Linked DNA regions of Mus musculus: regions 1, 2, 3, 4 and 6 are each reported to be linked to region 5. Evidence: microRNA targets listed by miRTarBase, many of them from high-throughput screens and not tested one by one. Region 5 holds a microRNA gene; each other region holds the end of a gene's coding sequence. Distances are from middle to middle.

The links. Region 5 holds the annotated microRNA mmu-miR-324-3p (CCACUGCCCCAGGUGCUGCU, at 2,096-2,115, shown strand). A microRNA usually pairs through its seed, bases 2 to 8, with sites in the 3' UTR of a target mRNA and lowers its output. Matches are read on the target gene's strand: a 7mer-m8 pairs with bases 2 to 8, a 7mer-A1 pairs with bases 2 to 7 and ends in A, and an 8mer does both.
Region 1: the mRNA of Hpcal4 is a reported target of mmu-miR-324-3p. Seed matches in the 3' UTR shown: 8mer at 853-860 and 7mer-A1 at 514-520.
Region 2: the mRNA of Tafa5 is a reported target of mmu-miR-324-3p. The part of its 3' UTR that is shown has no 7-base or 8-base seed match.
Region 3: the mRNA of Anxa5 is a reported target of mmu-miR-324-3p. The part of its 3' UTR that is shown has no 7-base or 8-base seed match.
Region 4: miRTarBase lists Tanc2 as a target of mmu-miR-324-3p. Seed matches in the 3' UTR shown: 7mer-A1 at 1,544-1,550.
Region 6: miRTarBase lists Cog7 as a target of mmu-miR-324-3p. Seed matches in the 3' UTR shown: 7mer-m8 at 335-341.

The regions. Positions count from the first base shown.
Region 1 is chr4:123,189,978-123,195,049 of GRCm38, reverse strand. Hpcal4 (hippocalcin-like 4) reads right to left here. Exons shown (of 5, transcript NM_174998.4): 5 at 351-4,392. The coding sequence ends at 4,195. Among named protein-coding and RNA genes, the nearest start is that of Nt5c1a, 9.0 kb to the left of the region's middle.
Region 2 is chr15:87,756,855-87,761,925 of GRCm38, reverse strand. Tafa5 (TAFA chemokine like family member 5) reads right to left here. Exons shown (of 4, transcript NM_001252310.1): 4 at 2,562-4,629. The coding sequence ends at 4,621. Among named protein-coding and RNA genes, the nearest start is that of Mir6393, 37 kb to the left of the region's middle.
Region 3 is chr3:36,444,896-36,449,967 of GRCm38, forward strand. Anxa5 (annexin A5) reads right to left here. Exons shown (of 13, transcript NM_009673.2): 13 at 4,028-4,511. The coding sequence ends at 4,449. Among named protein-coding and RNA genes, the nearest start is that of Mir7009, 28 kb to the right of the region's middle.
Region 4 is chr11:105,923,065-105,928,136 of GRCm38, reverse strand. It overlaps Tanc2 (tetratricopeptide repeat, ankyrin repeat and coiled-coil containing 2), which reads right to left. Exons shown (of 26, transcript NM_181071.3): 26 at 1-5,072. The coding sequence ends at 4,421. Among named protein-coding and RNA genes, the nearest start is that of Cyb561, 19 kb to the left of the region's middle.
Region 5 is chr11:70,010,000-70,015,071 of GRCm38, forward strand. It overlaps Mir324 (microRNA 324), which reads left to right and starts at 2,044; the gene lies at 2,044-2,132. It overlaps Dvl2 (dishevelled segment polarity protein 2), which reads left to right. Exons shown (of 15, transcript NM_007888.4): 15 at 1-110. It overlaps Acadvl (acyl-Coenzyme A dehydrogenase, very long chain), which reads right to left. Exons shown (of 20, transcript NM_017366.3): 3 at 4,794-4,859; 4 at 4,632-4,704; 5 at 4,480-4,544; 6 at 4,246-4,380; 7 at 3,435-3,579; 8 at 3,173-3,302; 9 at 2,959-3,084; 10 at 2,449-2,647; 11 at 2,187-2,291; 12 at 1,685-1,771; 13 at 1,537-1,599; 14 at 1,346-1,447; 15 at 1,169-1,266; 16 at 1,007-1,079; 4 more. The coding sequence ends at 297.
Region 6 is chr7:121,918,493-121,923,561 of GRCm38, reverse strand. Cog7 (component of oligomeric golgi complex 7) reads left to right here. Exons shown (of 17, transcript NM_001033318.3): 17 at 94-723. The coding sequence ends at 260. Scnn1b (sodium channel, nonvoltage-gated 1 beta) reads right to left here. Exons shown (of 13, transcript NM_011325.2): 13 at 4,834-5,069. Among named protein-coding and RNA genes, the nearest start is that of Scnn1b, 56 kb to the right of the region's middle.

The DNA.
Region 1 (5,072 bases), not on the chromosome of region 5:
TTCTATTAGAAAGCAAGCTGAGCAAGCCAGGGGAAGCAAGCCAGTAAGCAGCATTCCTCCGTGGCTTCTGCCTCCACTTCTGCCTCCAAGTTTCCACCCTATGTGGGTTCCTGCCCTGATTTCCTTTGGTGATGAACAGCAACGTGGAAGTGTAAGCTTAATAAACCCTTTCCTCCCCACCTTGCTTCTTGGTCATGGTGTTTGTGCAGGAATAGAAATCCTGACTAAGACACTGCCAGACTGAAGATCTAGCTTGATCCCCAAGGAAACTCTGTGAAGTTTCCTGGCCTCTTTCCCTTTGCCCCACCCTAACCCCACCCAGCCCAGTTTAGCAAAGAACAGAGCTTGTACAGTCACACCTTTTATTCATTGTCAGTGGGAAAAACACACACCACGTGGCACAGGGTTGATCAGTGAAGATGGTTGCTGTGAACACAATTAGAAGCAGCATGTCCGGAGGGGACAGGGCTACACTGGGGCTCCCATAGTGAACTGGGATACACCTAGGCTTCCTCACTGCTTAGAAGACCATGCACCTGGGCAGCCTCCACCAAGCAGAGGGACCCATGCATCCCTAGAGACCCTGTCCTACCCCATACTCCGACAAAGCTAAGAAGAGAAAACCCTGAAAAGTCTAGGGGGTAGAAAACAAAACCCATGTTTTTCTGAGACTTTAAAATTTAGCACGTGACTTCTTTGCTTCCTTTAAGCACAATGAAGCAGCTATGTAGGAAATGTATTCTTAGCCCCGTGGTGATTTCTAAAGCCAACACAAAGCCTCACCCAGGGTGGATCTTCAGGAAATGACTTTTGCTTTAATAAATTTTGTGTAAAAATATTTACAGTGTCTGCTCACTGCCCTGCCTGGGAAGACCAGCGTGTCCTTTTCTTGCTTCCATAACCTTCTGCGTTAAATGGATTTCTGCTTTTGAGGCTCTGCCATTGCCAGAGCAGAGAGGAATTGGTGCCTTGGCCAATGGGCTTGGCTTTCTCTTCATTTCAAAGGTACGCGAGTAATTACGCAGCTGCACGGATCGCAGCGGCACACAAGGCAGCCTACGCTGGGGATTTTTAGGGATGAGAAATAAGGGGCTCATCACTTAGCCAGAAAGGATGAATGAGGATAGCAGGCATGAGAAGGCTAAATTTGGAACCACCAGATTCACAGACTTTTTGTAAGAGGATACAGAACCTCGAAGGAGAACTTGGTATGCCAGTGTTTTATCTGCATTTAGGTTTTCATGCCTGTGCGAGTCATACCCAGATCTCTGCTGACCTGTGCTTCATGCTAAGTGCTTCCCAAGCCGGAGTGGAGATGGGAGATCTCTCTCTTCCCAAGGCAGGGACGGGCGCTCTACCACATGGTCTCCTGGGCATACTGAGTTTTAGACACCCAGGAGAATGTGGGAGCAAGGCTCGACCTGTCTGTGGCTTCTCCCATGAGCAAGAGGGCAGAGCCAGTTTGAGGCCTGTTGGCTGTCTGAAACCCTTGGCCTTAAGCAGCAAATATTGCCCGTGAGTGGGTGACTAGAAGCCTAGAGTGATCTGTCTCATGGGTAGGACTTGCCTACCAACTTGGAAAAAGAAAAGCAATTCTTTGGGGAAGGAAGATAGTGGAGAAGACAACACAAGATGCTTCCAGGACTTGATTAGCAGCCTCCAAGAACAGCACTGCAAAGCTGCCCAGAAGCTACGAGAGGATGCTTGAAAGTGGAGAGACTTCAAGCTCCTCCTCCTTTTCGGAAGACTGTAGCCTCAGCAAGTTCTTGGCAGGAAACTTCTGAAAGGATAAAAGTCGATTTGTCTTGCAGTTAGCATCTGGACAAATCAGATGGAGCAGAGAAGAGACTCTTGGAGAGCCTTGCGTTCGAGTCTTAGCATTGTGTGTCTCTCATACAAGAGACCTCTCTCCCTCAACCCTTAACTTTAGCTTCCAAGCCTGGGTAAAACCCTTATCTCCTTGGGCTGTGAGGACAAAATGAGATGCAGGCAGATACAAGCCTTAGAAAGCCAAGAAATTCTGTGTCATTGTGGGTTGGGCTAGATTAAACATTTGGGGGGAAGGAAAAGCTTTTCACTAGAAGATCCAGGTCCCAGCTGAGCAAGGTGGTTGGGTATTTATGTGTCTGTGGCACTGATGATAGCAAAAGACATGCTTAGCAGGCCGTGTGCCAGAGCTATGGAGCAACCCCACGAAGCATCACCAGATAAACAACTGCTAGTACCACTTGAGGCTAAGAATTCCTCACCCTTAGCACGTGGCCTGGATAGGCAGGTCAGGAAGAAGGTGGCTTGCTCCCTCCAAAGGCCACAAGAAGGAAAGTCTGACAGAACTTTGGACCACAGGTCAGAATCTACAAACATTTCTACCAGAAGGGAGGTGAGCACTCGGAAGTAAGTGGCAAATAGCGTATCTTCTGCAGGGCAATCTCCGCCACCACACGCCCCAGCTTCTCAAGCTCTCTCTACGCCCACCCTGGCTGACAGCATCTCTGTACTAGACTGTTTTCACAGCAGCTCAAGAGGAAGCCAACTGTCATCGCACATCAAAGCCAACCTCTGATCGCAAGGAAGCGTAGGCGAAAGTGAAGCGAGGAACTGGAAGAAGCAGGTGGATTTTTCTGGAAAGCATGCAGCACACTAGTTAGCTCATAGACCTTAAAATTCAGAAAGCGAGGCTGGTGAGCTTGGAAGGTGACAAAGTAGATTACCTGGCAGATCTAGGACGGAAGGGTTTAGGAAAAGCCTTTTGCACGGAGTACGCCCAGCACATTCTTTAAGCATTTGGTCCATAGATAAGCGCAGCCCCCGAAGCCTGAACAGCCGCAAGATCCCTTTCTTCTAGCTCCTTCTATCTTAGGCTGTGAAAGAATAAGCCGATCCCTGAAAAACCAACCCAAACTCAGAAACAAGCTATCGAGATGTGGGTATGCACTGTGCTTGCCCATGGTACCGAGATGTGGGAATGAACAGCGCTTGCCCATGATACTGCGCTATGGGAATGAACTGCGCATGCCCATGGTACCGGGCCGTGGGAATGAACTGCGTTTGCCCATGGTAAGTTTCGTTTCTTACTCTGATGTCAGCACCCAAGGTGTGCGACAGAAAAGTCACTTGTGGAATTGAGAAAAGGTAATAAAGGGACATAGCAGAGACAGCAGGAACTGCTGGTGGCGAGAGTACGGGTTCTCCAGACCTGATGGTGGCCCTACCGCTTTTGCCTAAACATTTTCCCCCCTTGAACATCAGCATTTTTATATTCATTTAAATCTTTTTTTAAGAAATCAAGTAATATAGAGTATATTTTTATAGTCTAATAAAATGATCTTATGTCTTTGAAAGGGCACTAAAAAAATAAATATTACATAAAATTTTGTTTTTCTTAAAACATCCACCCACGTGGCACCTAAAGTTCCACAGGTTTTTCAGTTGGACTTTCTGCAGCTTTGGGTGGCACCAGCTGGAGGACACACTAGTTCTGACAGCGTGCCAGCTACCTCACACCTTCATCTCCATTGTGTTCCACCATCCTGTCCGAGACTGCAACCCTTGGCAGTTGTCTCGCTACCCTGTGAGCTTCCAGAGGGCATGGGATGGGTTTCTGTAAACAACCGTATTCTTAGCACCTTCAGGTGCCTGGCATGGGGCAAGTGTTCAACAAGCATTAGCTGAAGAAAGGACTCACTGAACGTTCCAAAGACTGGGGCCAGAGGGGCCAGGTAGAGCAAGGGAGCAGGGCAGAGACCACCTCTCGGGGAATCCCGATAGCCCGGGACAGACCCGGTTTGGCCCTTTGACTGGGGGCCTGTGGGACCATGCTGTTTATTTGGACCATAATCCTGGGAACAACAGGATTGCAAAGCAAGTCCTCAGCCCCTCCTTAACCTCGCCTCTGGGGTCAAAAGCCAACTCTCCTAAGCCCAAAGGATGTTGGTTCTAGGCCAAGGCTAGAGGTGGAGCTAGTGACAGACTATCTGAGGACAGGCTACTTGAGAGGACCTGTCTCTTTTACAGAATGAGGTGGTGGTCGCTCGAGGAACTTGACTGAGGAGAGAAAGGCTTGGACAGAGGAGTGGGTGAGCTAGAGAGTGAGGCTGGAACGCCCCTCCCCCCGGGGGTGGGCCAGCAGAGAGGACATCAGGTTGGAAGGTTGCCATGCCTTTCCTGGCCAGGGGCCCTGCCCCTCACCGGCCTCTACTTCTGCATGTCACACTGCAGGAGCAACACGATGGACGGGTCACTCTTGGCCGCCTCCTTGAACTCCTCCAGCGTAATCTGGTCATCCTTATCCTGGTCCATCTTCTTGAAGATCTTGTCCACACGCTGCTGGGGTGTGAGCCCATCCTGGTTCATGCGCATCATGATCACGGTGCCCACCATCTTATAGATAGCCTGATGGAGCGAAGACGGAGGTGTGAACACCCAACTGGCAGGGAGGACTGGGGAAGAATACAAGGGATCTGGGGTGGACTGGGGGCACACTGGAGGAGGGTGGAGACACTAGAAGGAGAGTAGGGCCGTTAAGACTGGCTTTTTAGGGCTGGCTGGCTTAGCGGGTACAGGTACTCGCTACACAAGCCTGATGACCCGTGTTTGGTCTCCAGAACCTGCCTAAAGGTGGAAGGAAAGAACTGACTCCACCAAGTTGTTCTCTGACCTCACAGGGTCCAATCATGTAACTCTGAGGGGCCTGGAACTCGCTATGTAGACCAGGCTGTATTTGAACTCACCATGCAGACCAGGCTGGCTTTGAATTCACAAAGATCCACCTGCCTCTGCCTAACTGAGTGCTGGGATTAAAGGCATGCGCTACCACACCCAAACAACATATATGATATTGTTTATGTTATCAACCTAATAAGCACTTTAAATGAATCAAACTCAACTCTTTAACTCACTTCCCAATTGTCATGCCTCTAGAATTCCCTGTCTCAGCAAGCAAGGACTTATTCTGCTAGATTTCAAAACAAAACAAAATAAAACAACAACAACAACAACAAAACCCCAAGCCATTCTCTGAGACAATGTTTCTCATCTATAGCCCATCTATAGCTTGGAACTCAGGATGTTGC
Region 2 (5,071 bases), not on the chromosome of region 5:
CCCCCCCGCTTCTGCTCAGTGGCCAGAAGACCATGCCATCTGCTGAGTGAAGTTTAGCTGAGATTCTCAGCCTGTGTCTCTGGTCTTGGCTCCTGGCACCAGGGTCTTGAGTAAAAACTCCCTTTCTTGTCTTGATTAATGGGAATCCCAAAAATATTTTAATACTCACTTCTGAAGCTTGGGGTTATTTTCCTCCTTATAGTCATTGACATTTTTTTTTGAAGCAGGGCTGTGCCCAAGACAGAGATTGGATCTTCAGACTGCTTTTGTCCCAGAAGAGAGTCTCCTCAGAGAAAAGCTTAAGGAAGAGAGGCAGAACTTCATCTGAGGCACCAAAAGCTGCCCCAGCATCATGGGGCCAATGGCTACCCACAGCCAGTGACGGAGACAAATTCCCTCCCTGAAGCATTGGTGGAAGGAATAAACGAATAATATTCTTTAAAGCAGAAAACAAATGTAGTTATTATTTCAGAGTAATTCTATGACCACAGGCACAAACAAAGAAATGAAATATATTTAGGATGCAGCATGTCCCTAGAGGAGTTAACTTCTGGAAGAAGGTGTGCGGGGCCACACAGTGAGATCAGCCCTTACTGCATGGAGCCAGTGCACAGGAGCTCTCAGGACACAAAACCATGATAGCTGTTCTAGCTTTAAGGGAGCACCAACACCAATGCTAAGTAAAGAGGAGTTCACTAGGTGGTTGAGTTTGGCACATGTTCTGTCTCCATGGTGGGTACCTGGCCAGGAGTGATGAGGGACCAGATCCTGTGCCTCTTTCAATAGACATGTTGCTGGGGAGTTAACTGCTATGAAGGCTGATCTGGGTGAGAAAATAGGGACAAGAGCTGAGGCAGATCGCTGAAATGGGGATGGCTGGATGTGTTAAGGTCATGATAGGCCACTGTCCTGAGATTTTGAGGTTCTGGTTTTACTGTGGAACACAGATGACCCTCTAATCTGGCCCTTCATCTCTGCAAGATGGTACATTACCACTTCACTTTAAGCCCAGTCTACTCTTCCCTACTTTTCCCAGTTTCTGCTTACCCCATGACTGACTCTGATGGGGAATTTCCACCATCATCTAAGACATGTAGGAGGGAAGAACCTATGGATGATTCTTCCGAGTGTAGTACAGAAGTCCATCTCTTCCCATCGAGTGGAGTCCTAGGTCCCCAAGATCTGGGGTCTCCATGCTAGGGACAATTTTGTGAGGATTAAGTCCCACCTCTCAGTCTGAGGAGCAGCTCAGGACAAGATCTCCATGTAGTTTTCCTTTGGATGTGAGGGTGTCTGGCAAGAGGCAGGTAAGACTCAGACAATGTAGGAAAAAAGGGTCAAGGATCTCTCTGGGTGGCAGTGGTTGTCACCTTGGGATGCTTTATTTCTGCTATCCCCTACCTTCAAGGAACACCTCTGTTCACAAGCCTCCCCTTTCACGAGATGCCACCCAAGCTGGGTGGGTTTTTGGTGATGCAATTGCCTTTGTGTTGACTATGCACCAGTTAGTAGCATCTCACCCATCTTCTGCAACCCCAGTAAACTCATTGATGCATAAAGTAGGACTTTGGTTGTATTACTTTGGTCTATTGTCAGTTCCCTATATTGGTGAATAGACATCTCCCTAGAAATGATGCCAAACAATGTGTGATTAGAGGATGGGGAAAGAGACCCTGATCTTAGTCCCAATGTTTAATTCTGAAAAATATGCCCTGTCATACTCCAGGGCAGCTTACTACAGTATACTTTTGTGAGGGAGCCTGAGGGTAGGGGCACTAGGCTGACACTTCTCGTCATGGGTACCAAAGGGATAGGAATGATTCTTGAGGCTGATGCAAGTCTCCATGTCTCGGCCACAAGATACAATCCAGATGCTTAAAGACAGACTGGCCTTGTCTACCTGCCTCTGTGGCTTTGAGGTCAATGGAGTCTCTTTGGAACAAAGCACAGGCTATCCATCCATAGCCCACCCAAGAGCCACACCTACCTGTGGTTAGTATAAGTAAAGAGGAACTGGCAAATGGCCTTGAGTGCTGACTCTAGACCTCCTCTCCAAGGGCTGCTCTTTGGAGGTCTGAGATTTCTGTGAAAGGGAGAAAGGACCCTTGAGAAGGACTCTGTCCTGGACATTATAGGCCATAAGAACTTGGGAGACAGGCAAATACATATGACAATCCATCTTCCCTTGGGCCACCTGTCTGTCTCTGGCCCACAGGGGTGAGGTAAAGCAGAAGATTATGTCTTTAATAAGCAGGGAGCCCTGCTCCTGCCTCTGGGGGATGGACAGGGACATATCCCAGGGGTGCTGAGCACCCCTGAGCAGGCCTATAATATAGTATAGGTACATACCAGGAATGGCTTCAGAGCCTATTGGTGCAAGCCCAAGAAATCCTTGGCACTTAACTCCCAGATGGTGCTTCAAGGAGGAGCTGGTGATGGTGCCAGCCTCAGGTGTTGTGAGCAGGAAGGACCCAGTGCATGGTGCCCACCTACTGTCCCCACCAGCCATGCAAACTATTCCCCTCTCCCAGGACACCACGGCCAGGGAACAAAAGCCATGATTATCAAAGGACTTTTTTTCTTTATTTTCATAATTTAGCTGAATCAACACAAAAATTGGATACTGTAAAACAAGGGGGAAATATGCTGTAACATCTTAAGTCTCCTGGTCTCTGCCCTCGGAGGTCTCTATGCTAGCTTTCAAAAGAAACAGCCAAGGGGAGGTGGGGCGGATGTTGAGGTTCAGTGGTGAAATGAGACCTCCTGCCCTGTTGACCCCCTGCAACACAGGCCACTGGAGCCTGACACTTCGGAGACAGTGGCCTTGTTTGACCACCTCCTTTGATGAGAGCCCCTCATGTCAGCTTCATCTCCCTGCCCAGGATACTAATCTCTGCATGAGTGAAGGGAGGACACATGGGTACCGGAATGGGTCTCACAGAAATGGACTTTCTTTCCTATCTTTAGCCTATGGTTGCTGGAACGGCATCTATATACTGGAGTTAAATACATTTTTTTAAATGTTTGCCTTTAGTAGTATATTACTAGCATGATAGTCATGTTAATTGGACATGTAGGTAGTATGCTGGTAGCAGAACTCAGGAAAATGAATGGGGACTGTGTCCCTTATCTGATAGCCTCTGACCCCACAGTGTAGGGCAAGCAAGGACAGTGACTCTGCTCCCCAGCTTCTCCACCCCCTCCATCCCTGCTGTCTTTGCCTCCCAATGTGGAGAACAAGGACCTTTGAAGACGAAGGGGGTCATTCACCTGGGAAGGGCAAGTTGGCCGTACATGGACTCAAGATCTATGGATGGCAAAAGGGGTTAAGAGAGAGAGGGACCAAAATCCATGACCAAAATATTGTATACGCAATGTTTACCAACACACAGACTCACAGGGGGATGTGAACTATCAGACCAAACCAAAGCAAAGAGAGACAGAGCTTCCTAGAATGGGCAGGGTCCTCTGCACCTCACCCACAGCTCTGCCCGTCCATGTCTGCTCTGAGGTCCTCCATGGCCACCCCAGAGTCTCCAGGATCACAGGGAGGCCTGGCCACAACTCTCAGGATGGTCAGACCTGCCGTCAAATGTTAAATAGGATTTTCTACAAATATACAACATATAAAAACTGTTAAATATATAACTTTAGGCTTTTGCAAAATACATTTAATGATCTCTTTCAAACAGGGTTACTTCAGTTTTCTTTAATTTGCTTTCTGGAGCTAAATGGTGTATCAGATGAGATAGCAGTCACAGGAGACCCAGCATGCTCTTGGCAAATGGTGGATTATCCAACTATCAAAAATGGAGCTGTGGAAGAGGCATGTCTAACTGGTTAAAACAGAAAGTGATTTTAGTACGATAGAGTTGGTCTAAGCACAGGGGCAAAGGGTCTGTGTCCGGGGCCCTTGCTGTCCGCTGGGGGCCGTCGCCGGCCATGCCCCTGCTGGGTCCTGCAGGTGCACCACGGTGGTGTCCTTCTGGGCAAAGCCATCCTCTTAGGGCACGCTGCAGTGTTCGTGGGGCGGGGGTCTTGGCCTCAGATGCCCTCTCCATGCTGCCTGGGCCACCAGCATGTCTGCCACTGCGCCCTCCCCTGCCCCACAATCAAACCCAGGGAACTCTTGGCAGCAGGGATGTGTCCACGTTAAAATAGATTTGCTCTTTGGTCTATTGAGTATACTGAAAGTATAAGAAAATAAAAGCGATTCAGACAGTCTGGGACAGAGGGGGTGGTGGCTTCTGCACCTGACAGTCCCCGGACCTTGCGTTGTGGCCCAGCTGGCCGGGCCACAATTTCCTTGTTCCGGTCCTCCAACTCCAGGGAGCAAGCGGCTAGTGAGGATGGATGCAGCCAGGCTCCACACACCAGGTATTGCTGATTCCAGGTACCACCCTTGACATGTGTGTCTGAGTCCCAGCCTCCTGGGTTCAGCTGGACAGACTTGAGCTCAGAGCTCCGAGGAATTGGGCTGTCTTTGTTAGGCCTCTGGGAAACAGTGGGTGGATGGGGGAGAATGAGCGGTGTCCACATAGGATGCAGGACTGTGGCTGAGGTGTAGAATTTCCAGGGAGCCACAGCCACTCCCAGGGGGCACCGCAGGGGCTGCGATTGTCAGGAGACCTGAAGAGCAAAGACAGAGAGCTGTCAGCCTCATACTGAGGTCATCCAGAGTCACATTCCCAACACACACATTCCTTCTTGCCCACCATGGGCAAGTTTAACATCTCCTGGACCAAGATTGTAGACCTGGATGTCTGGGAAGATGGGCACTCTGCATAGATTAAGCCCCAGAAGTACCACGCCCCAAGGGAGGATGCCCTCTGTTGGGAACCCAGAGGAACCTCTGTATACTCTCCAGCCTGTGTTGGCCAGAGCTGCTCTAGGTCTTTTTGGTTTCCCAAGGGTGCCTGGCACAAACTGGAATACTTAGCATGAGTACCACACTGGCACAGGGGGGCAAGCACTTCGAACCTGACCCTTTAACAGCTCTGGCAGGAGAGAAGGTACCTCACTCCCACCCTTCAGCAATCAGACCCTAGAGAGCTACAACATCTGCAGGAGT
Region 3 (5,072 bases), not on the chromosome of region 5:
TAATAGACTCTGAGCCTCTGGGACGCTGCAGTGTCTCCATTAGAGATTCCAGTCCATTCCATCCCAGATTTCTGTTTACCTGTGCGTCTGTCTTCGGATTGTTCCCTTACCATCTCTCAGGTCCTGGAGCTGTGCAGGGCGTGGCATGTGAGGCCTTTATCCGCACCTGCTTCATCTTTGCTTAGTTAAGTAAAACCTGCACTTCACTGTAATATTATTTTACATTGCTGTCATGAGTGATTTTATCCATCATTTCACATGTTTCAAAATAATTTATTTCACCTACTCTGTAAATTATTTTTTTCAAGTCCTTGGCCTTCATTTCTAAGGAGTTATGATTATTTTGCTTTCAATATGAAAGGGTTATACATAGGCAGTTAAAGGTCATAGGAGGAGGGTGTCAATGATTGACCAATTATCTTTACAGGAGTTATTTTTTAAAGGAACTACCTTTTTAATAAATATGCATATGTTACATATACATATATAATATACATACACACACACACATATAAATATATATATACATTTGTGCCTTTAAGTTACAACTATTTTGTTTGTTTGGTTTTTTTCTTTTTGTTTGTTTAGGCTTTTTTTTTTTTTTTCTGTTTTTTCGAGACAGGGTTTCTCTGTGTAGCTCTAGCTGCCCTGTAACTCACTTTGTAGATCAGGCTGGCGTCAAACTCAGAAATCCGCCTGCCTCTGCCTCTGCCTCTGCCTCTCTGCCTCTGCCTCTGCCTCTGCCTCTGCCTCTGCCTCTGCCTCTGCCTCTGCCTCTGCCTCTGCCTCTGCCTCTGCCTCTGCCTCTGCCTCTGCCTCTGCCTCTGCCTCTGCCTCTGCCTCTGCCTCTGCCTCTGCCTCTGCCTCTGCCTCTGCCTCTGCCTCTGCCTCTGCCTCTGCCTCTGCCTCCCAAGTGCTGGGATTAAAGGTGTATGCCACCAATGCCTTGCTACAACTATTTTTTTTAAGATTTATTCTATTTATATGTACACAGTGTAGCTGTCTTCAGACACACCAGAAGAGGGCATCAGATCCCATTACAGATGGTAGTGAGCTACTATGTGGTTGCTGGGAATTGAACTCAGGACCTTTGGAAGAGCAGTCAGTGCTCATAACTGCTGAGCCATCTCTCCAGCCCCAGAGTTACAACTATTTTATAGGTAATTTTCTTTTAAGCTTACTTAAGCTGTATTCCTTAAGCTGTATTCACACATCAGTTTAATAATTGAACATATTAAGACTTATGTCACCATGCTACAGATACCACTTCCTCCAAATCCACTCCACACAGCATTCATTAAAACCTGGACAAGCGTAAGGTGGCGCTGCTTACAACTACTTAGGACCATGGGCATGAACAGAGTCCATCAAGGGCAAATTAGATTGGTGCTCTCCTTGTCTACAGCGAAATAATTTAATGCTTGCCTCCAATGTCTTTTCAGCATCTCTTCACATAGATACAAGCTAATTTATAATTTTAGCCCTGTCCTTACCTCCTACTGTTCAAACATGAGTTAGGAAATGCTATGGGTACTCTTTCTCAACCCTGATTCCTCAGTAAGGGTATTGGAGACTCTGACATGCCACCATTCATAAAAAACTATTATAAGTTCTATGCACTACTTTATTAGAGTAGTCTGCTATATGGATGGATATTTAGGTTATCGTTAAAATAGACTATCATGATGAGAGCCTTGTGTGTGTATCATGCATAACTGGGACAAGTGCCCAGGGTGCTGTTGGAGGGTAGACAGTAAATGCCCTCATAGCTTTGATAAGTGATGCCAGTGTGTGTTGGCTCACATCCCATTCTGTCACGTGAGCGTTCCACCCTCACCAGTCTTCTGACGACACTGTATCATCCAGGGTTTGAATCCCTGACAATCCTCACCATTCCTGGCAGAGAGAAATCTTGATGCAACTTGGATCTGTGTCGTGTTAGGGGCTTCTGCTATCTTTCACCTGCTAAAAATGAAACCATTTTTAGGTTTCATTATTGTGGTGGCTTTTTCTGCTCTGTAGCCCAGTCTGGGCTATGAAATCATAACAGTTCTCCCTCAGCACCCCAAGAGCTGAGCTTACAAGTATCTGATACCTGACCTGTTCTGCTTCCTGCCTTCTTTCCTTAAGCCCTCTGCATCTCTAACTCCATGCCAACACTTACTTCCAGAGACTCTTAGCCCGAAACACGAGGACATGACTTAATTATTATGCAATGACCACGTTTACTATTTTGAGATTTAACTGAATAGAGGAAGTTCAGAACTAATCTTATCTTTCTCCTCACGATTGCCCGGTTATCTTCACACACGTTATTTGTAAAAGGAACTGCACTGTTACACATCAAATTAAGACCTGCCCACTTTATGAAAGGCAAAGTCTCTAACTGTGATGTCATTTTAAGCAAAAGATTGGAAAGTTCCTAAGTGTCCATCCATGTTGGTTTCAATGTCCCGGCTTGGTTTTTATTTACCAGTCTATAAAGGCACCAATTCTGCAGAGCTTTGACAACTCTGGCAGGGGTGTAGCTCCGTGGTGGAATACTTGCTCATGATCTGCTAGGGTCAATTTCCAGACCCACCACCTCCTCCCCAAAGAGAGAGAAAGGGAGGGAGGGAGGGAGGGAGGGAGGGAGGGAGGGAGGGAGACATACAGAGGATGGTATCTGGAGATGAAGGTTAGCTTAGGCTATGTGGTATAAGCCTGTCTCTCCAAAGAAGAGATACATGTTCACTGCTCTCATTCAGATTAACTAATGAGTCTCTTTAAAAGTGATCTGAGAAGAACTACTGTTTTCACAGCAGGTTCACAGCAAGATGGAGCAGGGCGTTACAAACTGGAAAATACAGCACACGGTAAAGCATTTTCTTTTTCTGATTAGTTTCCTATTGTAGCCCAGGCTGGCCTGGAACTCGAAACATCCTCTTGCCTCAGCCTCCTCGATGTACGGATGACAGGTGTGGGCCAGCACAGTCAGCTCATCGCTCAGGAGCCGGCAAGTGTGTGTTGCACCGCTTATGTGATGGACTGGGCTCTGCGTCTATGGAGCTTGGGCGGGAGTGTGTGTGTGTGTGTGTGTGTGTGTGTGTGTGTGTGTGTGTGTGTGTGTTTATGGGTGGGTGGGGTGTCCAACTTCACATTACCACACACACAATTTTTACAGTTTCCTTGGTTATTTTGTAGAACAGTGAGGTCTGTGAAAAGATCGCTGTCATTATTTAATAAGGATATTAACATTTTACTTAGGAAAAAAAGTAGCCGTGAGTATATAGCATATGTACAAATGTCAAGGTAACTCCACTTCAAGGCACCCAAAGGTGGGAAACAGGAAGGCAAGGCTGAAGAAATGGCTTCCTAAAGAGTACTGTCTGTGTTATCTGTGATGAGACAGACGTGTGGTGCCTGAGCACAGGTAACCAGCCTCGTGGCAGAACATGGATTAGAATAAATGGGTTATCTTAGGTTATGAGCCATTAGGTTATTTCTGGGACTATGGGACTGGAGGAAGAAACTTCTACAATTATCTCAAGGAGGAGGAGGAGAAGGTAAAGAGCAGAGTTACAAGCAAACTCGAACACACTGAAATTTTAGGTTGTGCAAAATTTACTCTTTCTGCTGCTAGTAGAAGCTCCATAGTATTGTCCTAGCTGGTGAGGAAATAAATCTCTTCTCTTCACCTCCCCTCCTCCCACCAGGGGACCCTCCCCTCCCCAGCTTTCATCCCACCAGGAAACTGTTTTACACACACACACACACACACACACACACACACAGAGGAACACATGCACCTCCACCCCACCCCACCCCCTTCCTCCATCCACACCCTACCCCCACCTCCCATCCCCCACCCCCCATTCTCTCTCCATCCTTTACCTCACCGCATTAGGAAGTTCAGTCTGCGATACTGCATGTTTTAGTACCCCAAGACCAACTATAGTTTTAGCTTTAACTAATACTACTGTCAAGTGCCTGCTTTCAAAGGGATATCATTGTTAAATAAGCTTTCTAAACACAAACCTACACAGGATTTGGAGGGAAGGGAATGTTTTTATTTGTCGCCAATGTTTTGGATACTACCATCATAATTTTGCAGGTCTGCTAGAGCAGTAAGCTTGATTGACAGCATTTCCAAGAGTTCACAATTTCACCGCTAAGGTTCCAATCAAGATAATAGGGTTATTAACTTAATATAAATGAAGCTTTAAAAAAGGATATAAAAAGCAATTCATAGACAATATTAATAACTCAGACATTGGACTGAGAGATATGGGAAGGTCACTACCTACTGTAGACAGAACATCAGAAGGGCGGGACACTGCTTTCATCTAAGACACCTTTGGTCATTAGCATACTAGTGTAAGGCAGCGCGGCAGGCACAGAATGCAAGCAAGTGTGGTGCTGAGGAAAGCTGATGGTGGGCAGCAGGCACAGGGCGCTCCAGGCGGCTCTCAGTCATCCTCGCCCCCGCAGAGCAGCAGCAGGGCCTTCTTATAGTCTCCAGATGTGTCGCCCTGGAACCCAAACACACTCTGTCAACTCCATGACTCACAAAAGCCACAGGAAATAAAAAGATGAGGAAATGGCTGAGGGTGACTATCGTTCCTGTGACTTTTCTCCCCACTGGGCAACTTCTCTGCATGACTCTCACAACAGGAATGTTACACAGGGAAATTCCTACCAATACCGCTCAGTTTAACTTTCTAATTTTACCCCTCGAGGGCTGTTCTCTTAATGGAGTGGACTGTGTTCTTCCATGGAGAAGCAGAGAAGCCGTTCCAAGTATGTTAAATCATCATGCCTTCAAACAGACGCCCAGTTTCTCTCGGGTAACAAAGGCATGCAGGGCCTCTCAGGGGCTGTGGCTTTGCCTCGGACATGGGCATAGGGCATGCCTTCCTTGGGCTCCCCTCATGCCGCTTATGTGTGAAATGCTAGTGTCTTAAGTGCACAGACTCGCTGGCAACCCTCAACCCAAGCTCCACACACCACACACATTAAATCCAACGCTTTTGCTCAACTGAAACCTCTCTCTACACGTGGTCCACAAGGAAAGATGTCAAGAGACTTCCTTT
Region 4 (5,072 bases), 36 Mb from region 5:
TTCAAAGCTCTGACTGTGGCCATCACGTGGCCACAAGCATCTCAGGGTGGCTCAGCTGCTGTGAGGCATTGGACACCGAAATGAAGGTTACCAACACTTCAGCCCTTGAGTGGTCTGTATTACAAAAAGAGTTGATGAAGACCCAGTGAATATTCAAGTAGCTCTGCACAGTGGCTCCACCAGCCCCGTTGTGCTTGTGTCCAGGCCCCTAGCCAGCTGCCTTTTCTTGGGAGCAGCCAGAGCTGAGTTCAAGGCATTGCATGGTGAAGGTTTCCATGACGCGTCTTTGTAGGTAGCTCTTACCCTAAGCCCTTTGTTCATTGTTAGTCATGGTAGATGGTCAGTCTGGAATTCCCAGAGGAAAAGGAGAAGTCACACCTCTCAACAAGCACGAGGCAGGGCAGTATGGCCCTCAGAGTAAAGGCGGTAGCAGACCCCTTCTTGAGAACTGGGCAGCCTGAGGGCAGACAGGTAGGGTGGGTGGGGCTGCTGAGCGCTCAGAGCCTCAACAAGAGATGGGCACAGAGGCAGCATATCCTGCCACCTGGGGAGCCTGTTCCATTGTGTGGCAAAGATTCAGTGAGCAACTGGTTTTGTCCAAGGCATTTCTGCAGTAGAAAAATAACCATCTTTAATCAACCACCCAACTGTGATTCTTCTGGAGTTATAAAAGCCGGAGGCTGAGTGAACTGAGAGGAACGGTTTCTAACGGGGAGAAAGGGAGCGCAATGTAACCTCGCAAACGTGGTGTCCAGAGTCTGCCTTGCTACAGGGGCATGGCTGCAGGAAGCCCCCTCAGGCTTGTGTTCCCTTCTTCCTGAACCTCTAGTCTGTAGGGCCCCCTTGCCAGCTGCACTGGCAGCAGCTCCACGAAGCCATTCTTTGTAACCAGGTAAGTATGATGCAGGGTCACAGTGACACCTAGTGGTAGAGTACGGTGAAGCACAAGTGACATCCACATATCCCACTGCATATGACTAAACTCTAAGGAAAAATACTTATGGATATTAAATTAGATACTGGTTTAAAATTTTTCTATTGGGTATATCTCTGAAATATAAAAATACCAATATTTAGAGGGAATCATAAACTACTATACAATATAAGGGAGGAGAACACCTTTCTCTAAGCTGTTCTGTTTATAATAATTTAGGAAAAGTGATAATCCAGGCTTAACTAAAATCAGCAAACTTGGATATCTGGGCAACAACCTGGGATACTGTACACAATTCTAATGAGTGGAATTTTCCTGAGCCATCAAGTTTAAGTTAAACACATCTAGAAAGGGGCACCTGGAACGAGAGGGGGTTGTGCTCTATTAACTCGGGACTAATAGTGCACGACTGCAACCTGGACAGACACAACAGCAGATACAAAATGATCTCCATTTGTCCATGCCGAATTCTCATGTTACAGAGGTTTTCCCTTTACTTTGTAAATAAACAATAATTTTAATTGTTACTTGTGTGCCTTACTGATCCAGTAAATAAATGAACCATGTCTCAGGAGTCCCTAAGAAAATTGCTGGAAAAGCACTTTAAAATCACTGCAAATGTTTTCTTGTGTTTAAAAATCCTTACTCTTTGAGGCTTATATACAACGTTATTTCTGTGCTATAAATGCTGTGGCCCACTGCTTGATTTCTTTCCTTGTATCTTTTTTTCTTGAAAAAACACACTAGAGACAAGAGTGACTCTAATTTCTAATGAAGACATTACTCACACTTAAATATCCAGTATTTATCAGAGTTACAAATTCAAACAGTAAAGTGCACCCATTTATAGACATGATGTGATGGAAACCCACCAGTGCAAGAATTTTGGGCAAAGGAACATGTTTGGGTGAGAAACCTACAAGCTGAAGTTTGTCACCTGTCTCTACTTAAGGGTGATGTGAATTGAGTGATAAGAATTTGCCAGTTTCATTTAAGATTTGTCTTCCATCCTGAAGCCAGGCAAATGTTCATTGTTGGGAAGGGAGGGGCACATTTAAAATACAGTACTAAGATCAACCATGGCAGTGAAGTAGCAAAGCAGGGCAGGCAGTCTGCATCCAGGGAAGATGCTTGTCTCCTGCCTCAGGAAGCTCCCATTGGTGTTCTTAAGTCAAAAACCACTTGCTCCAGTAGTGGCATGCACTCTCTCTTATAATGGATAGGAAATAATTGTGGTTTGACACTGCTATTTCAGGTGGGGGTAGAGACGCTAACTCTCTTAATTTTCCTGGGAAAATGAGGGACCATGGGTAATAGTGGCAGCTGTGGTGTATTTTTAGGTCTGCATGGCATTCTAACCCACTTGGGCAGGTAAGGTGGTAAGGGTGGCTTTCCAAACAGGCGGGAGCACTTTATTAATGGACTGTAGGAGCTCCCTCAGAGGTGGTTCAGGTAAGATACAATGTGATGCAGAGACCAACAGAGCTGTGTCCAGGCCACAAGGGGACTGGAGAGGCTGCTGCTCCCAGCTATAGGCTGACCCCACAGCTATAAGCTTCTTCCAGATGGGAGAGATGAAGATAAAGACAGGTGGATGGTCAGGTAGGGAGAAATGACCAGTGCCTATCCTAGTCTAGGAGGATGGGGCAGTTCTATATCAGAGTAAAAGCAGTCCTGCTTACAGAGATGAATTCTGATCTGTTTTAGGCTTGGGGGGCCTGGGGTCCATCTACTGGCAGAATCTAAATCAGTGATGAAAGGTTTCTGATTGCAGTGTCATGCTCTGCATGACTTCAGATCCTATCAGAGAACTGCATTCCAAACAGATCACAGCTGGGTTTTGTTCAGGAAATTGTCCTTCCTGCAGCCCTTCACTAATGAGAAATGCTCCCTAAGAACATGGTAGCAACAAGCAACATGGTTACTTTGCTGGACCTGTGGCTTGGTTTTGAGAACTGACGTGTTCCCAGAGATGGTACTGTGCTACAGCTTTGGTTCCTGTGTCCTTGATGCCTATCTCACAGTTGTCTCAGCTTTTCAAAAAATCAGGTTAGCAAACAGCCACAAGACGAATGGAAACGGAGGGAGGAAAAGGCCTACTATCAATCTCATGCCCCTACCCAGTGCTCAGAGCAATCTGTAACACTTTTGGCTGTTTCTGATTTTCAAAGATTACCATTTAACACTCTTAGATAAAAGAGACAATTCCTTTAACAGAGAATAATGAAATCAGAGGTCTTAAAATGGAATTAGATAACAGCCAACACGGAATGTAGTGGCCTGGGTGGAAACCCTGGGATGGGCCTTACAGTCCCAAGAGAACCTAAGCAGGTTCTGGAAGAAACTCTTTACACTATCATCTTGGTTTTGAGACAATGGAGCTGAGCGAAGCCTGGCTCCAGGTGAAAGTGCATCGAGTCGGGTTACTACAGCAGCCAGACCTCAGAGGTTGTTCAGGGTTTTTTTTTGTGATCTAAAATGCAGACTTGACACAGCTTTCTCTTGGTGAGAAGCAAGAACAATCTTTCCCCCTTTCTCCTCCTTTCTCCATACTTATTCCCTTCTCTAGCCGTGGAAAATCAGCAGCCTTTAGTAGCTGTTAGTTAAAGCCTAGAGAATACCTCTTGGTGAGTACTTTAAAAATACCAACAGTTCTCCTGGAATTTCCTTGGCTAATCAGGGCTGGATGTTTATTAAAAGTTCCCCAAACACTTCTTGGAAAACCAACATAGTAACATTTCAGATAATTATAGTGGGCTTTTCTTCCAATCAATTTAGCGTTTCTTTCTTTCTTTTTCTTTCTTTCTTTCTTTCTTTCTTTCTTTCTTTCTTTCTTTCTTTCTTTCTTTCTTTCTTTCTTTCTTTCTTTCTTTCTTTCTTCCTCTCTTACTCTTTCTCTCTCACTCTCCCTAGACCCCTTTGTCCCAGAGAAGGACCAGCAATAAAGGAAATGAAGATTCTAGAGCTGACGCCTGCAGGGAGCTGGAGTCTGGGGAGAAGACCATGGCACAGCGATGCACTGGGGCTGGCCATGTGAACACTGAGGAAGGATGCAAGGACAGAAAGGCATCACACGTGTCCTAACGCTTCTAGAAGAAAACAAACAAGAACATCTTACTTTTTTAAAAAGGAAAAAGACATTCACACAACAAGAACATCAGTGAAAGCGATTGTCTCCTGGAAAAAGCCGACCAGTATGTCTGATCTCCCTGGTTAAAGCTCACGGCACGAAATCTCCTCGTTGGTATTGGAAGAGAGGGAGAGAGCATGTGGCTGGGGCACAGACCCGAGAAACTGAAGTCCTGGCTCACCAGAGGCCAGCTTCCCAGTCAGCTGCATGCAAAGGATTTCAACATGTGGGCTGTCACCTCTGAACACCACACAGAAACTACATGAGAAATTAAGCCAGAGAACTACCTCAGATGTGGAAACCAAGCCTGAAAATGTGCAGTGAAAACATATGGGTCTCACTCCAACAAATGTCTCTTAAACATTAGACTCCACAAATGGTCTCTTTGGTTTGATGGGCGATGTCTGCCCTTGTCGAGAGTCCCGAGACAATTGCCTGTACAGGTTGTCCTGGTATGCCTGAGCCACTGGTAGGGTCCGTGCCACCTTCACATCAGGATAAGAGGAGGCCTGGCTGACTCTTTCCAAGAGGTCTCCACGAGACCCATTAGCCAGCATCCCATGGGGGCTGTAATAATCGTCCTCCAGCAAATGGCCATTCTGTGCATTGTTGGTTTTGTTATAAAAGGCAATGTTGCTGATGGATGATGGTGGACTGAAGGATTCAGGCTGAGGCAGGTTGCCTGGAGACGTGGGACTGAGAACCGTATCCACTGATGAGACTGCCCAGGTCCGATTCTGCTGGTGAAGGTGGGGGTACTGTTGAGTCCGGGCTGTTTTATCTATGATCCCCATGAATGGTGTGGTCCTGGATCGGGTAGGCTCACTAGGATAACCTCCCTGAGTGGGAGATACTGGTGATAGCTCATCACATGACCTATCATATGCCGGTTTTAGTGGGATCTCCATTTGCTGAATTGAAGAAGAAGGCCGGAAGGTGGGAGTCAGGTTGGAGGTGGATGAGATGCTATTGCTGGATGGAGAAAAGCGCAGGCCCACACTCTGTGAG
Region 5 (5,072 bases):
AGACAGCAGTCCAAGGAGGCTGGTGGTGTGTTGGGGACTGTGTAGCTGCCTTTGTTACTCTATTTATTTTAGTCACTTGTACAAAACACCAAATAAAGCAAATAGAGGCCAACTCCCCAAGCCTCTGGCTCCTTTCTTTGCGAGGCAGGCAGTGGAGAGGAGGGAGCAGTGACATTCACGGCAGACAGTGACTTGGTAGAAAATTTATTGTTAAGGCAATAAGTACTCCATCACCCCCATAAAGGGTTTTGGCATCAGAGAAGGCACATGACCTTGCCAGGGCCTGATTGGGAGTCTCAGATTCCCAGGGGGTTACCGGTGACCAGGCCACCATTCTCCACCATGGCCTTGGAGATGCTTCTGAAGTTCCGGAAGAGCTCCTGATGCTGAGGGCTGGACTGCAGACTGGCCATGTTTTCTCGGATCCGAGTTGCAGCCTGGGGAGAGGGAAGGGGAGGGACGGTCAGGCCGTCCTGTACTGGGGAGCTCCAAGGCCCACCTGTACTGGGGAGCTCCAAGGCTCACCTCAATGCACCAGCTATCACAGAGCATTTTCTCATGCTGTGCCGTCGGGTAGCCCTCACTCAGGGACCTTGAGGCTCTGTGAGGAAACAGAGGTTAAAATGATCCTGAGTGCTGGTGTTGGCCCAGCTCCTCTGTGGCTCTAGCCTGCCAAGCGTCCCTCGCTGCCGCCTTACCTGGACAGAACCACCACCATGGCATAGAGGTCAATGGCGCCGTCCGCCAGTCGCTGCAGCAGGAACTGCTCGTCTGTCAGGTAGATGAGGGTGGGGCTGTTAGTCGGAGGGAGGGAATCAGGGAGGGAAGGGGGTTGCAGAGCTCACTCACTGACAATCCCTTTCTTGTGTTTCACCAGCTTGGCCTCCACCACGGTGGCAAATTGATCCAGAGCCTGCACTGCCTGAAGAGACAAGAGTCACAGACAGAGCTCAGGAGAGGAAGGCAGCGCACAGCCACCGCAGGCTCTGCTTTAAGGCTCACTCACCAGTTCACCACTGCGACTTAACTCTGGGTGGACAATCCCTGACAGACTCAAACCACTGCCGATTCCTGTCCTCCTGAGAGGAGATGGAAGAGTGACTGGTCAGTTGCGGCCTCCCATCTTGTTTGACCCTGACTCTGACCCTGGCCCCGGCCCATGAGGTACCGTCTCAGCTGTTTGCCTGCTTCTCCCATCAGGAGGCCAACGTTTCCAAAAGGATTCTTCAGGGCATTGCCCAGCCCAGTGAGTTCCTTTCCTTTGTCCTGTGGAGAGAAGGGGGACGGCGACAGTGAGGACTCAGTGTCCTCCCCAGCTGCTCTCTCTCATCCTCCTTCCTCTTACCATACAGCCTTGCAGAGCCACAAACAGTCGAAGAATGTCATTTGCCCCTTCAAAGATCCGGAAGATTCGAATATCTCGGAGCACACGCTCCACCCCTGGTTCCTGGCACGCAGGAAGACACAGAAACCTCTGTTGAGATGTGCCTGTCCACTCTGAACAGATGCCCCCCCCTGCCGAGGAATACTCTGTACCTTCATGAAGCCCATGCCCCCCATTATTTGGATGCACTCATCTGCCACTTTCCAGGCCGCCTCCTGAGGACAGAGAACCAGATGAGTTGGATTTTTGAGCTGAGGTCCTAATCTGGACTCCGCCCTCCCATCACACCTGGGTCCTCACCGAGCAAAAGATTTTGCTGATGGCGGCTTCTATCTGGAAGTCTTTGAATCCCTGGTCCATGTTGGCACTCAGCATGTAAGCCATGGACTAAGGGAGCATGGTCGGGACATGGGGAAGACAACAGGGAAGGGCTGCATCAGACAGAATGGCTAATGCTCAGACCTTCAAGACCAGTGCTGATCTACTCCTCCAACCCTTGAATTCACTTTAGCCTCCTGGTCAGGTCAAATATGTCCAATATGTGACCCTCTGGTATATCAGGGGCTTCGAGGCTTCCGACTTTGTAAAGGGGTGGGTTAAAAGTCGTGTTTGGTGCATCTGGGCAGCATTTAGCAGAGCAGCACCACCCTCCAGAAGAGAACTGACTATGCCTCCTCGCATCCCCTAGGGCATTGGTGTAAAGCTGGAGACCCACTGCCCCAGGTGCTGCTGGGGGTTGTAGTCTGACCCAACTGTGAAGAAAGCCATAGGGCTCCAGGGAAGGGGCCCAGGAGGCCCTTACCTCAGTCACATACTGCAGAATAGCCATCCGAGCCAGCTTTTCCTGGATCACCCCAAAGTTGTGAATTTTGTCCCCAAACTGGGTACGATTAGTAGCATGATCAACCTGCAAGAGGGCGCATGTTACCCCACTGTGGTTCTTCAGTTTCCACCTGGACGGGCTGGAGGCCTAACTGTGCCGATGGTCGAGTGTGCATGTGTGTGTGTCGGCGCTCTGAGGCAGTCAGGGACATGTGCTAGCTAGGGACTGGGCTGGGACTCACCGCCTTGGCAATGAGGGATTTCATGGTGCCTGCGAGGGTTGCAGCCATCCCGAATCTTCCGTTGTTGAGGATGTTGACAGCAACCTTGAAGCCATCTCCCACCTCTCCTAGCACATTCTCTGATGGCACCTTCACTCCATCAAAGTACACCTCTGACGTGTTAGATGCTTTGATGCCCATCTTCTTTTCAGGGAGCCCACTGAAAAGGCAGGGCAGGAAAGTTGAGGTATGAACAGGTTGCTGTGGGGGAAAACGGCCTTTTCGGGTCTCATGATCAGGGGAGAACTCCCCAGACTATAAAAAGGATACAGGGCACTGCCTATGTGCCCCAGGGGCTACGGATATCTAGCTATGGCCTGTTAGCCTGTGTTCCCCCAGTGGAAACAAAACTGCTCACCTCCTGTGGGTGCCTCTTGTACAGAGATAGCCCCAGCGTGGCCTGTATTGACTATTTGCTCTTGAGAGCCCAGTGCTGTCCCCATCCTTGATTCTGTTTTGCCCCATACTCACTGGGTAACCCCTCCGAAGCTCCTTTCCACTACAAAAGCTGTGATCTTCTCTTTCACGGCCCCCGTGGCTGCATCTTTAATTGGCGTCTTGGCAAAGACAGTGAAAATGTCAGCCAGGCCCCCATTACTGTGGAAGAGTGAGGTGGTTAGTATAGGGTTTAGAGCAGCAGGGTCAGGCCACTGGGCTGAAGGGTAGAAGAGAAACGGAAGATTGCCTGATCCAGATCTTGCTCCCATTGAGAGTGTAATATTTTCCACAGGGGCTGGGTATGGCTGAGCTTCGGATGGAGGCTACATCGGATCCACTCGAGGGCTCTGTTAGGCAGAAAGCAGCCAAAGCCTGCCCTGTGGGGGAGAGAACGGGCTCACTGGGGATCCTGACCACCAGAGTTGCACCCCCTCATCCCCAGGCAGTTCCTTGTAACACCGTGAGCAGTGTCACACTCCTTACCCCTGGGTCTCTTAAGGTTGCCTTACCAGATGCCACTCTGGGAAGGTATTTTTCTCTCTGGGCCTTTGTGCCATAGAGCAAGATGCCTTTGAAACCGATGCTCTGATGAGCTCCCAGGGTAACGCTAACACCAAGGTCATGCATGCCCACAATCTCTGCCAAGCGAGCATACTGGAGGGAAAGGAGGCATCTGGGATTGTAGCTGGCTGCACTGAACTTGTCCTCAACAAGAATGGGCAGCAGGGCAGACCTGGCCTGGGGCTTGGAGCATCTCTACTCTGAGCATGGGGAGTGGAGTGGGTTTGGACAGGGCACAGGGAGGCTGGCCATGGGGCTCCCAGGTAGGCTGCTTCTCTAGCATGAAACCCTGGAGTCTTTCCTAAGGAGACAGGAGCAGGAACATCAAAGGGCTTAGATAATCCCCCCCCCCCCTTTTGAGGCAGTTTCATTTTGTAGCTCCAGCTAGCCTGAAACTTTGTGGGTTTCCCTGACTGTCCTGAAACTCCCTCTGTAGACCATGCTGGCCTTGAACTCGAGATCCGCCCGCCTCTGCCTCCATCCTCCATGCTGGGATTAAAGATGAGTGCCACTGTGCCCAGCTGCCCTTGGTCTTGATGGGAAGGTTGCCTGCTGTGTTGCCTCACACAGTCCCCAAAGACCTGGGAACCACAGTTAGGTCCACGGTCCTAGTGGGCTGCACACAGATCATGTTTCAGGGGAAAATGTGTGAGAAAAAGGGCAGGCAGGTAGACACTACTCTGGCTACTTGCTTGGCCCTAGTGGTGAGTCTACCAAAACTGGAGCACTGTGGAATGTTAACCAGGGGGATCCTCTCACCTGGGTATTAGAGAGGCCCAAACCACCCAGCTCGCTGGGTACTTGCAGGCCAAATGCCCCCAGTTCCTTGAGTCCCTGCAAAGTGTCGTCCTCCACCTTCTCCAAGGCGTCGTTCTTGGCAGGGTCATTCACTTCCTGAGCAAGGAATAGGAAGAATCTCATATTCAGAGGCTCCTTTAAGCTCCTTAGCATCTTACTTAGCCCAGGAGGGGCTGAGCTCTGGTCATCCCTTACCTCAAAGAACCGGGCCACTGGTCCCACCAGCTCTTTGAGAAATTGTGCCTGTTCTTCACTGAGCACTGTATAATGGGAGAGAAGAGCAGGCTAGTCAGGCAGAGAGGGCTCCCCTGCCCACACTGTCAGTGACTGACTAAGCCTTTACTTACCAGATGGGTATGGGAACACCTGATCAATGGTAAGCTGGCCTTTGAACATCCCCACAGCAAAGGACTTCGATTCCTAGGCAAGGAAGGAAAGGATCTTAGGTGGGTGCCTGGGGTGATTCTACTCCTGGTTTTTAAGTGTCAGTCCAGTTTCCAGTCACTTACTGCCCTGGCTGGTTTTTCTCTGGTGGAAGCATCAGAGGAGAGGGTTTCTGGCTTGTCCAGAACTGCCTGGAGGGAAGGGCAGAGCAGTTAGGCTGGAGATGGGTCTTAAAAGGTGTGCAGGAAGCGCTAGCTCTAGGAAGTGCGTTTGGTGCATGTTCCATTACTTTCTCACTAGGGCACCCTGGCGTGCCCTTTCCCCTACTTTCAGTGACAGAACTGCCACCAGGTGACTGGGTCGAAGAGAGAGACCCCTGTCGGTCGCAGGCTAGTGGGAACTGG
Region 6 (5,069 bases), not on the chromosome of region 5:
GAAGGTCTGCCTGCAAGGGAGCTCCCAGCATTTGGGAAGGCCTTGGGGTCCCCATGCACTATGCTGCTGAACCTGTCCCCTCCTCACCCACAGACTATCTGATCAACGTGATGGACGCACTGGGCCTGCAGCCATCACGAACCCTCCAGAACATTGCGGCGCTCTTGAAGGCCAAGCCTGAGGAATATAGACAGGTCAGCAAAGGCCTGCCACGCCGCCTTGCAGCCACGGTGGCCACCATGCGTGGTGTGAATTATTGACCAATTGTGAGAAGAGTGTCCAGGACAGGGTACAGGACTGGTGACTCTCAGAATGGATTCATTCTCAGTGGTGGGGCAGTGTGTGTGTCTGTGTGTGTGTGTGTGTGTGTGTGTGTGTGTGTGTGTGTGAGAGAGAGAGAGAGAGAGAGAGAGAGAGCAAGAGAGAGTGAGAGAGAGAGAGAGAGAGAGAGAGAGAGAGAGAGAGAACTGGAAATTAGGCATGGTGGTATGTGTACATAAGCCAAGCATGGTGGTACATTGGTACATGTCTATAATCCCTTGGGAGGTAGGGGCAACAGGATTACTGTGAGTGTGATGTCATCCTGGACTAGAGACTCAGTATCTACAACAAAAAGGCTATAAATGAGAAGTAATGTATTATTTATCAGAGAGAAATTTTCAGATGATTTGTAAAAATAACCTTATCTTAAAAGTGGGCTTAATAAACACCGTGAAGTGGGTCAAAGGGTGTTTCCTTCTTCTCTGTAATATCTGAGTGCTCACACACTGAGCAGGGCCTGAGGACACTGAGGTGGGTAGGGTCATGAAGGAGGCTGGGGCTTCACCAGTGCAGAGGGAGCAGAGGAGGGTGGAATAGTGAGCAGGTAGATGAGAGGCGGGGTGAGGTCTACAGCAAGGAGCAAAAGGGGAGCTCCCCTGGAAAGAAGCACAGAGCAAGTGCAGAGGCCACGTTCAGCCAGGGTGGCTGGAGAAGAAGGCATCAGGCATTTGGGTTAGAGAGGAACGGAGCCAAATCGTGTAGGATCTTACAGCTGTGGTGAGAACTTTGGCTTCACTTTGCCCTTTTGTTTATTTTAGTGTACAGGATGTTGCAAATCTCATCTCCTCCTTTTTGGTCTATTGCATCTGTACTTGTCAAGGCTGTGTTTGGCTTATAAGTAACAGTAAATAACATTGCCTGAATGACTTGAGCTGAGAGGAATGAATTTTTCAATAATGAGAAGTCAGAGGGTGGGAACTCCAGGAGCTGACTTAGGGCCTGAACAGAGGAGGGACCTTAGCCAGTGCCCATGGCAGGTGACCCTGGCAGTATGACTGTTATACCTATGTTCAGGAGGAAACCACAGGACAGGTTGGAGAGACATGGCTCTCTGTTCTACCAGGCAGTCAGCAGTGCTCCACCAGCCCCTGCTGACTTCTAGGCCACATTGGCCACTTCTTGGTCACAGGGTATGTCCCCAGCTGCAAGGAATGCTGGGAAAGTATAGGGGGTGGGGACAGGACCTGTTTCAGTATTTCTCAGATTAGTCCTTTCAACATTTTGAGTCAAATAACTTTGTTGGGAAACTGTTCTTTACATGAGCCTGACCTCTATTCACTACCAGGAGCACAGCTCTAGGGGATGTTGGTACAATTTTTTTTTTGAACTATTTTACTGGGTTCTTATATCTCTCCCTCCCTTCCACCCCCATCCCTTCCAAACTCCTCCACCCCCAACACTAGGTAGGAGAGAAAGAAGATTTGAAGAGGTATAGACCTCCTTAGACTACACCCTGCTCATTAGGTATGTCAATCTTTGTAGTTAGAATATCACCAAACAAGCCAGCAATAGCAAATGCAGCAGCAGGGACCAGCAGCAGGGTCCAACAGCAGGCGGAGCAGCAGCCGCCCATGCCCGCTAGGACTCACCCATTTATACCTTTACCAGAGTCCCCAGAATTCAACTATTTGCAGATGGCAAAAATCACGCTCCTGCCAGTGCATGAGGCAAATCATAGTCACCTGCTGTGAAGCAGCCTGTTATCCCACACCTGGGATTAAAGTAAAAACATAGTCACATAACAACTGTGTTGTTAAAGAAACCAAAATTCTTACTACAAGGGGACAATCAAAACTGTTTTCAGGGGTTCCCAAAAGGGCAAATCTGATAGGGAAACACCCTGGTTAGAGATCTAGAGTCCAGGATCTATACGCTGGACTGAGCAAGTGGCTACCCTGAACAAAGTTGGTTCTTTATTATTTTGTGCCACTGGGAATCTAATCACAGCCTCACTCTCCCTGAGCTATGTCCTAGCCCTTTTTATTTTAGTTTGAGGAGGTATCTTACAAAGTTGCCTAGGCTAATCCAAACTTGCTTTGTAACCCAGACAAACCTTGAACTCATGACTCTCCCTCCTCTGCCCCTCAGCGAGCTGGCCCGCACTATCGGGTCTGACTTCCTTTCACTCTGTAGCCAATTCTAGCCTCAAACTCACCATCTTCCAGCGTCAGCCTCCCAAGTGCTGGGTTCTGGCATACACAATTATGTCTGACTACAGCCGTCTTGTTTCTTGGCAAGGATGGTGGGAACAGCAACAGCCTCTGAGAGGGCTGCTTGTCAAAATTAAGCTTATCCAAGACCCCAAGTGTGCAGCCTTACTGCTTGCTGGGATCTCTCATAGAAGCCCACCACAGCCTTGGCAGGCACAGGTTATTATCTCTAATCAAGAGAGGTTTGGGGACTTTCCGGGCCTGTCAACTAACTGCCTTGTGGCAAGTTGGAGTTGAGAGTAAGGCTGGTGACTATAGTATCTACAATCCTAACCCAGAGCCAGGCTGCCTTCTTTGTACACCGTGTGGGAGGTGCATGACCTAGGTGACACATGCTCACAGTGTAGGGACACTTAATCCCAGCGGGTCAGCCTGCTTGTGCCAGTGCCACCCTTTATAGAGGTGCACCACACCCACGAGGCCACCAAGGCTAGCATCTCACTTGGGACTATCCTGATACCTTGGGAACTAGTTTGGCTGGCATGGACAACAGTGTCAGCTTCGACCTTGCCCTAAGAGAAGTACTTTGGCTTCTCAATGGTTGATCACAGACTGTCCCTGGCAGGGGTTAAACCTGAAAGAAGTGAGACCTGGAAGGTCACAAGATCTGCAGTCACTTGTAGTGATGGTGTCCATGAGACGGAACGGACTTTTGAAAGACAGCCTGGGCTAGAGTCAAGACTTTGGATGTGTGACCTTGGGAGAGTCTCTCCCTCTCTGAGAGACAATGGGGACAAGGACATGTGCCAAGTTCATGTTCATTGTTCGTTCATTGTCTCTAGCGTGCTAACCTAGCTTCCCTTGTGGAGATGAAGCAGAAATCATGGATTGTCTTGGGTGATTTGAGTGTGACTAACCTGTTTCCAGTGCTAAAAAGGCTCATGGGGTCCCTGGTAGGAATGGCACAGTACTCTTCTAGACCACGGGTGGCTGGGCTTGCCAGGTCTGAGCTACCTTAATGATGGGACCGTTGAAACCATCATCCTGGAACCTGACCTTCACTGTCCCCTGAGAGTGAGGACAGCAAACCAGTTCTGATGTGGCTTCTGCTGCACACCTTCAGATGGCTCCCAAGTGTGTGAGCAGAATCTTCGCTGGACTCAGTGGGTTCCCTCCCTCCTTGGATTCTCCCAGCACAGCTAGTTGGTGTTTTCCATGAACATGTGTACACCCCAACACACACACACACACACACACACACACACACACACACACACATTAAAGTGATAAAGTGCTCAGCCCAGTGTCCCCCATAGAGCCTCTAGTGTGACCCAGGTGGGACTGCCTTTCACCACAGGTATGGCAAGGGGCCTTCAATGGCAAGGAGCCCAGCTGATCTCCGCCCACCAGGCTAGACCATCAGACAGCGTGGATCAGCCGCTGGCTCCTGGCAGCAGCACCTTGCCTTCTCTAGAGGACGTCATCAGAGTTGCTATATGTGACAGAAAAGGGTCCAGGCCATTTGTGGTCTCTACTGTTCCCCAACCCATAACAGTGTGATACCCAAGATTTCAACCTATGGCCTGAAAGGGAAACGGAGGTGGGAACAGCAGGGGACCTCAGAACAGACTCTCCGAAGGAGGCTTCAGTGAGACAGCTCGTTTAATTTGGGGGTCAAAGATGATTTAAACCCTTGGGGAAGTGGATAGGGATCTCTGGGGAGAGGGAGGATCCTTGGCGTTGGCCGGTCGGGGCTGGGGATGCCTCGTTTACTATGGAGGAAGTCCAGGTGCTACTGCTGGACAGGACCTTATAAGGGGGAAGGAAGTGTAAAGATGCAGGGGAAGGACTGCCTGCCAGTACATGCAGGCCCCAGTCGGGAGGGAGTGGTGCAGCCTACCACTCTAGAGAAAATATTTCCAGGGCCGGACACAACTTGATGACCCTACTTCCGCTCTGAGCCGGGTCCACAGTTCCCTGGACCCACAACCATTCACTTAAGTTTGAATGTGAGAGAAACAAATGACTTATATCCCAACTTTTGCCTGGGTGAAATTATACCACAAAACCAACTTGTTGTCTTCCCTGAAATTGGTTTAACTGAGGGACCTGGGTTTTGTCTGACAACCATAGGAACTAGTTCACACTCCCCTCCGACTCTGATTTGCTGGATACTGTGGTGGCTTCAGGTCTGGGCAAATAGAATTGTGTCTGCCAATCTGAGTAACTTATCCAGTTTATCCAGTTTATCACTGACCATGCTGATTGGCTCAGAGATAGGCACATGACCCAATCAGGGACCAATGCGTGTTAGCCTGGAACAGGCCTTAAGAGGCCCCTAGAAGCAGAGAGTTAATTATTCGGGGTGCTTGAGAACATTTATTTGTTTTGTGGGGTTTTTGTTTGTGCTGTTTGGTTTTCTGAGACAATCTGTATAGTCCAAGCTGGTCTTGAACTTGGATCTTCCGACCTGGGATTATAGGTGTCTGCCCTCCATCCCCATGCCTGGTTTTACTGAAGTCAGTTTGCTTCAGTGCACCCCAGCTACCCAGTGGGATAAAGAACAAACCTCCATCCAGTGTTTTCTCTCTTTATTTT